2 linked regions of the Rattus norvegicus genome follow. The protein of the gene in region 1 interacts with the protein of each later gene in a biochemical or structural test. Links are inferred from orthologs where the notes say so. Each region holds a gene or a part of one and is shown in the gene's direction. Other genes may lie near its edges.

Region 1 (3,619 bases):
TTAACGCAAACCTAGAAGGTGACAAAAAACCTAAGTGTGAATATACGGATTGTGAAAAAGAGTTAAAAAATCTACCAGAATGCTCACAGAAAAACGTCACTCTCTCCAATGGCTCATGTACTCCAGATAAAATTATAAATTTAGATGTACCACCAGGTGAATGTCAACTTCCTTCTATCTGTGTATTTAGGACAGCAGGGAGAGTTCATATATGTGTTCTGGTGCCTCTTCAGGCTAATGTGGTCAGAAAAAAAGAGTGAGGGAAAGCAAGTGAGCTTTGTTAAGTGTGTTCCCTGTTGAGAACCCTGGAGAGCACAGAGAAATACATACCTATTCCTTAGGAGCATCGCCTGTCTTTCTTGTTTCTTTTACAAAGAGGTTCCCAGCTGGGAGGCGGTGGCCCTCCCCCTTTAATCTCAACATTGCATTTGGCAGAGGCAGGCAAATCTCAGTGTTCAACAGCAGCCAAGGTCTACAGAGCAAGCTCCAGGACTGCCAAGGATACACAGAGAAACGCTGTTTCAAAACAAACAAACAAAGAAACAAACAAACAGAAAACAAGCCAAAAAAAAAAGACAACAAAAAACCAAAACAACAACGGCAAACCACCAAGAAAGCACTTCCTATGGATTAGAAACAGCCTACTTTGTATTTTGTGAATTAATTTTACATGAGACTGCTGGTATTTCTCTTTAAATTCAAAGTGTTTTCATTAGAGAAAAGAACATAGCTAAACATTTAATGTTTTCTGGGGGAAAAAAATCAAAGGGGGAGTTCTAGTCATGTTAATACCAAAGTTGTGAACTCAGAATGTGGAAGGCTAAGGCAGAAGCAGTTTATGTGTTCAAAGCCAGCCTAGGCTGCATCATGAGTTCTGTACCAGCCCGAGCTATGGTGTGACATTACACCTTCTTTCCAAAACCCAAAATAGATCAACGGACAAGCATCAAAAGCCCAGAGAAATTGTTTTTCAAATGGGAAAATCAGCTGTTTATCTTGATGCTTCCCTGAGTTGCATTTATAAAGAAAGCAGCGTACAGTTCTACTAAAATCTGTGGTATAGAGATAATGTGCTATCTTCCCTAATGAATGCCAAAGTCTGAGGTAATAGACAGACTGCCTGCAAACAGCGACTACACATTATGTAGATAGAGCCAACACATGTTTGTATAGTTATGCGTCAACCGAAACAAAGATAAATTAAAAGTTAGGAGTGTGAATAGATCATCAAGAGGCATCAGACCCTGGGAGAGCTTAGAGTCCTCCCAGTGAAATTTTCCACTTGCAAGAGTGGACTTCATGGGTGTGATTTCAGAGTCTTTACTTGTGAAGCTTCACATCTCCACGCCAGGAACCATAACCTAAAGGCACTTCTATGTTTTCTCCACAGGGACTCACAACTTTAACTTAACAAACTGCACACCAGACATAGAAGCTAATACCTCAATTTGTTTGGAGTGGAAAATAAAAAACAAATTTACCTGCGACATTCAAAAGATTTCATACAATTTCCGTTGTACACCAGGTATGATACTGTGCAGAGAAGCTCTATTATCAGAAGTTATTCCAGATGTGGCTTAAAGGCTCTTGTCCTCCTCACCCACCCTGAGTGGCCCACCACAAAGTAGAATGAAATAACCCTGGTGCCTCTGGCACGGAAACAAACTCACAAAGTAGATAAATGAAAAGAACAACCCGTGGATGATACATACTGCAAAAAATTAATTAAAAGAATTTTCTTGGGCTGGAGAGATGGCTCAGTGGTTAAGAGCACTGACTGTTCTTCTACAGGTCTTGAGTTCAATTCCCAGCAACCACATGGTGGCTCACGACCACCTGTCATGGGGATCCAATGCCCACTTCTGGTGTGTCTGAATACAGGTCAATGTATTCATATATATAAAATAAATAAATACATCTTTTAAAAGACAAATTTTCTTGAGTACTTCTATGTATCAGATATTCTTGAAAGGATGATGAAATGCCAGCATTAAAAAGGAAAGATGATATTTACAGTCTGTAGTAAGGAAACAGAGTGTTATACATAACCAGAGATACATAAATGAAAATCATTTGAAAGTCCAAAAATCCTTGGGTATCAAGGAGAGCAAGTGCTTCTGTGAGTGAGCTTGGGTTTCTATAGAGGTTGGGTCTTTTAAAACATATATTTGAGTTCAATAAGGTGGATTCTTTCTCCTCTGGCCATATAGCCGTGTGCCAGGACACATTTGGCAAGACAGAGGAAGGCACATACATACAGACACAGAAGTGGAAATGTCACCCTGATTGTCAACGCCCTAACGGGAAGTTGCTGGCCTAAGCTGTAAGCAGTATGTTCATAGATGGAACAAATATATCATGAGTTATCAATTTTTTTTTAAAAAATAAGTCACAATGCTGGTTTCTCAACTCAGTCGAGCATAGCAATGCTATTTGCAGGATCTTGGCTTATGAGTTCACCATTTGCAGAGGCCTGGCTCTACCATAAAGTCTTAAGCGCATGGTGCCATAAAAGAAGCCATTATACTGTGTATCATTTCATATACTCATGAGCAATACTTTTCTTTCAGAGATGAAAACATTTGCTTTGGACAAACACGGAACACTTTGGTTACACAACCTTACAGTCCGAACAAATTACACATGTGCTGCGGAAGTCCTCTACAATAACGTAATACTTTTAAAACAAGACAGAAGGGTGCAGACTGATTTTGGGAGTAAGTATATCACTGACATTTATAAAATAAATAAAATTTCTTCTTCTTTCATGGGTTTTCATTCTTTTTTTGGAGAATCACAAAAAATAATGGTATAGAATTACAGAAAGCATATCAGTAAAGAAAAAAGCTTAAATGCAATTTAAGGTGGATTTTAAAAACTAGGCTATACAAGCCTAACTAAAGTTCTTTTCTGTTCTTCAAATTGTGTCTGTTGCAAGACTGATAGGAACAGTTGAAATGGTTTGCATGAATTATTCCCATTTTATTCATTTTTTCTTTCATTCTTTTTATACCATCATTTGCTTTGTACTCTAAAACTTCTTTCCACAATTATGGCCTGCTTCTAACAGAAATAAAATAAGCAAAGAAACTAATAAAACTCAGGCAAATCTAAGTGTTTGAACATAAAATAGGGACTATAGTCATCAGATTTTGGCAATAGAATTAATAACAGGATAAAGCTTATTTAATGGAAAGGGGTTCTAGACATTTGGGGAGAAAGAAGTGAAAATTTCTAATTAAATTTAACATTTATTTGTAAATGTTAATTTTTTAAAATGGTGATTAATGAATGATCAAACATAAAGAAGACAGAAGATGTCCTTGTTCACAGGCAGTAAAGGCATTTCTAGAAGGAAGAGGAGAGAAACAGTAGGAAAGGAGGAAAGGAGAGATAGATAATAGATAGATGATAGATAGACAGATGATAGATAGATAGATGATAGACGATAGATAGATGATAGATAGATGATAGATAGATAGATAGATAGATAGATGATAGATGATAGATAGATGATAGATGGTAGATGATAAATGATAGATAGATGATAGATAGATGCATGATAGATAGATGATAGATAATAGATAGATGATAGGTAGATGGTAGATAGATAAATGAT
Region 2 (4,212 bases), on another chromosome or scaffold:
ACTGGAGCCCTTCTCATACGGCAGACAGACAAGGGTGCTTGGGATAGGCTCAGCAAGTCGAGGGTCACAGAGGCCCAGATTGATTCAGCCTTGCTTCATCAGCTTCTACCCAGGCCAGTTCTTCCTTCCTTCCTTCCTTCCTTCCTTCCTTCCTTCCTTCCTTCCTTCCTTCCTCCCTCCCTCCCTCCCTCCCTCCCTTCCTTCATTCATTCATTCATTCATTCATTTTTATGTGTGTTGGTGTTTTGTGTGCATGTATCTAATAGAAGCTAATATCCTAATATCTAATAGAAGCTAATATCCTAATATCTAATAGAAGCTAATATCCTAATATCCTAAGCTTCTCTATGTCATTTTTTCTGGCCATTTTCTTTTAAAACAAGTTTTTAACCATATAGCTTAGGCTGGCCTCCAACTAGCCATCCCTCTGCCTCACCCTCTTCCCTCTGCTTTTCTAACAAATATTTATTTGCTTGATTGCTCATGGATTTAAAACGTACAGATCCATACCTTGTACTAGAGTTTGAACCTAGAGCCTTGTTGAGCATTCCAGGGAACCACCATTCACTAAGGTCAATCCCTGGCTCCCATCCTCTACCTTTTGAAGTCTTAAGGGCTCAGCTTCTGTGCTTCCTGCATATGTGTGTGCGTGCAGGTGTGCATGCACTTGCTCATATATAACAGCACTCACGCTGAAAGTCCTCTTCCATTCGTAGTATACATAGCTATAAAGTAAAGGCTAGACCTCACCTGTCCCATCTCAGGTGGGCCTGCCATCTAACCGTGTGATCACAGAAGGGCCCTGCCTGCCTTGTGTGACTTCTCCCTACCTTGTCTACTTTATTTTCAGCACTTGGGCAGTTCCTGATCTGCCAGTTACTATAAAGCACACCAGGGAGAGCACCTGCCCCTCCTGGTAGACACGGGCTCTTTTCTGTTGGGTGTGTGCTGAGAAGGAAACACAGACATTTGTCTGTATAGAGGCCTCAGGACAAGCTTTCCTGGACCACATAGCACCTGCCCGGTTTCAGAGTTTCCCTGGACTTCCTCCCCTCTAGTCTTCCCGGCCTCGTTGGCCTTCTTGGTCATTCTGTGGGGCCTGTAAGGACTGGTAGGCACCCCTCTGGGACTCTTAGGTCTGTGTGTGTCTACCTGAGGCTGGTTAGAACAGCCCAGGACCCACATGTCACGGACCACGGCTTGCACTCCTTTAAGGAAGAAGTGATGATCACAGTCAGGGTGGGGGTCATCTCATCTTCAACTTGATTCTTTTCCCGCAGCTCTAATGGTACCAAGTAACAGACCGGCCTTCCTGTAGCACGGGGACGCCAGATCTCAGAAGATGTCGGCTATACAGGTATCGTGAGGCTGTGGTCCCATGTCTTGCCCTCCCCAGGCCAGACAAAGAATAGGTACTAAGAGCAGCTTGTTCCAACCATGCCCAACCCTCCATCCCAGTCAGGACTTTGTGTGAAGTAACACTAATTCCAGTGTGCTCTGTCGGGCACAGGGCCCCAGAGAGGGCTACAGAGGAATTTGAGCTAGAAGGGCTGAGAACTCTCTGGAGAAGTTATCTCCCCAGGTTCATGGAGGTTAGCTAAGATGCTTTGGTCTCAGGGGCATTCGGGCAGGTTGGTAGAGAAGCTCCCCAGGCTGCACCGACACCTGTCCCTTATCCTCTAGGCCTCCTGGCCATCCGGTACAGAATGTATTGCCAAGTACAACTTCCATGGCACTGCCGAGCAAGACCTTCCCTTCTGCAAAGGAGATGTGCTCACCATTGTGGCTGTCACCAAGGTACTTGGGACCTACGATGCCTGTCCCATCACCTCCAGGGGTTTCTTCTGGGTTTGGTTGCTTGGCCGAGGGAGGCAGGCCTCAGAGTGTGTCTGTGTTGTTCTCTCTCCAGGACCCCAACTGGTACAAAGCCAAAAACAAAGTGGGCCGTGAGGGCATCATCCCAGCCAACTATGTCCAGAAGCGTGAGGGTGTGAAGGCAGGCACCAAGCTCAGCCTTATGCCGTGAGTACCAAGAGGACGGAGGGCTGCAGTCTCCTGGTTTGGGGGAAAGAGGAAATGGCAGTGGTCCTCCTGGAAAGGCATCAGAGCAAAACAGCCCTGAGTTAGGGCTGTGAGGTGAGGGCGTTCTAGGGATGGGGCCAGAGGCTGGAGCTAATGGATGCAGAAGGAAAAAAGGGGTACAGGAAGAAGATGACGCCCTTAGATTGGGAGTTCTGGGAAGGTGTGTGCAGGAGGCTGGCGGAAGCTTCCGGGTCAGCACCCTGGTGACGCCCAGCCTTGCCACCCGTAGCTGGTTCCACGGCAAGATCACACGGGAGCAGGCGGAGCGGCTTCTCTACCCACCAGAGACAGGCCTGTTCCTGGTGCGGGAAAGCACCAACTACCCTGGGGACTACACACTGTGTGTGAGCTGTGAAGGCAAGGTGGAGCACTACCGCATCATGTATCACGCGAGCAAGCTGAGCATTGATGAGGAGGTGTACTTCGAGAACCTCATGCAGCTGGTGGAGGTGAGTGGGGAACATGCCTGCCCGGGGTGAGCCCCCTTCTCGTACACTCGCGCCTGAGTCTACCTGAGGACACTTAGGACAAACCCAGACCCAGCTCACCTGGCAGGGTGACCTGGACATGTTGATGGCTTCTTTGAGTCTGAGGTTCCTCACATGTGTGGAGCACCACCTGTGTGAGAGAGCTCAGTTCTGTCCCCAAAGGCCCACAAATAGGGTGGTATCCCCATTTTATAGATAAGGACACAAAGGTTCAGATCAGTGAAGGTCCCCTCATCTGTGCAGGGGAAGCACTCGTGTGATCCGGAACTCACTTCTTCCAGCACTCAGAGCCTCTGGGTTGCACACTGCCGTCAGGATCCTTGAGACTCACAGGTCCTTGATGCTTCCAACAGCAGCTCCACCCAGCTCTGGCCAGGCCATATCTGGCATCAGATACCTATAGGTTCCCTCCAAGCTCGTTCTCATCTCTGGCTTACATTGGCCCTGAGTACACCTGGTAGAGGCTGGTATAGGGAGCAGGCAGGTTTTGCTATCTACCTTGAGATATTGGTGAGGCCCAAAGCAGTAGTGGCAGTTGGGAGTCCAGGAGCTGAGTGTGGATAGGGCGATGTGGGAAATGGACAGGCATTATACCCTTCTCGAAATGAGGAACCCTCTCCGCACAAAGCAGCTCAAGGTTGTGTGGAATGGCCTCTGCTGCCCTCTGGTGGTCAGACCTGAACAGTGCGTGGGTCAATGAGAAATGGGGCCCAGTAGGTCTGGTTCTGAGGGCCTGCCCCACCTCTGCAGCACTACACCACAGATGCCGACGGACTCTGCACTCGCCTCATCAAACCAAAGGTCATGGAGGGCACAGTGGCGGCCCAAGATGAATTCTACCGCAGTGAGTGCACAATGTCTCCGATCTCCCACTTGCCCACTTCCCCTCACCCGGGCCCTCTGCCCTTACCCTAGAGGCTTGGAAACCCCAGACACCCACATCTAAAACAGTTTAGCCTGTGCCTATCATCTCAAGTGCTTCAGATTAGCTGTTCACTTCCCTGACACACCGCCTCCCTCCTGGTCCCTGTCCCCAGGTGGCTGGGCCCTGAACATGAAGGAACTGAAGCTGCTACAGACGATAGGAAAGGGGGAGTTTGGAGGTGAGTTGAGGGAGTGGGGGTGGGGGGATGAGGTGGGGGAGCCCCAAGAGTCCAGGAAACAACCCCTGCTTCTCCCACAGATGTGATGCTGGGGGATTACCGAGGCAACAAAGTTGCAGTCAAGTGCATTAAGAATGATGCTACAGCCCAGGCCTTCCTGGCTGAAGCCTCTGTCATGACGTGAGTTGGGCTGGACATAAGAGCAGGCCGCCTGGGTGGAGTGTGGCGGGGGATGGGCAAGCTGAACTCTTGACCACCCTGTCCTGCCACAGGCAGCTTCGGCACAGCAACCTAGTCCAGCTACTGGGTGTGATTGTGGAGGAGAAGGGTGGGCTCTACATCGTCACAGAGTACATGGCCAAGGTAGGTGCTCCTCAGCCTCAACCTGCCTGTCCCACAGCCCCTCCACTCTGCCCCTGCTGAGCTTTGAAGTTGTCGGGCCTGGCCAGTCGTTTATTGGCCAACTTTAAATAAGACCTTTTCAAACCTCAGTTTTCTCACCCATAAGCCTCCCAGTGATTGTGGGTTGAATAATATGA

What was found. The genes of interacting proteins can lie anywhere in the genome.
Region 2: of the proteins of Ptprc (region 1) and Csk, one has a biochemical effect on the other in vitro, tested with the Homo sapiens proteins (2 studies listed by IntAct). The link is inferred for Rattus norvegicus from reciprocal best matches to the Homo sapiens genes PTPRC and CSK.

The regions. Positions count from the first base shown.
Region 1 is NC_086031.1:52,193,729-52,197,347, reverse strand, and holds part of Ptprc (receptor-type tyrosine-protein phosphatase C isoform 1 precursor), read left to right. Parts: coding exon 1-156; intron 157-1,390; coding exon 1,391-1,525; intron 1,526-2,570; coding exon 2,571-2,717; intron 2,718-3,619. UniProt on the Homo sapiens protein: Protein tyrosine-protein phosphatase required for T-cell activation through the antigen receptor. Acts as a positive regulator of T-cell coactivation upon binding to DPP4.
Region 2 is NC_086026.1:66,927,358-66,931,569, reverse strand, and holds the start of Csk (tyrosine-protein kinase CSK), read left to right. Parts: upstream 1-1,295; 5' UTR 1,296-1,342; coding exon 1,343-1,357; intron 1,358-1,683; coding exon 1,684-1,797; intron 1,798-1,909; coding exon 1,910-2,022; intron 2,023-2,311; coding exon 2,312-2,531; intron 2,532-3,320; coding exon 3,321-3,414; intron 3,415-3,607; coding exon 3,608-3,673; intron 3,674-3,753; coding exon 3,754-3,853; intron 3,854-3,945; coding exon 3,946-4,036; intron 4,037-4,212. UniProt on the Homo sapiens protein: Non-receptor tyrosine-protein kinase that plays an important role in the regulation of cell growth, differentiation, migration and immune response.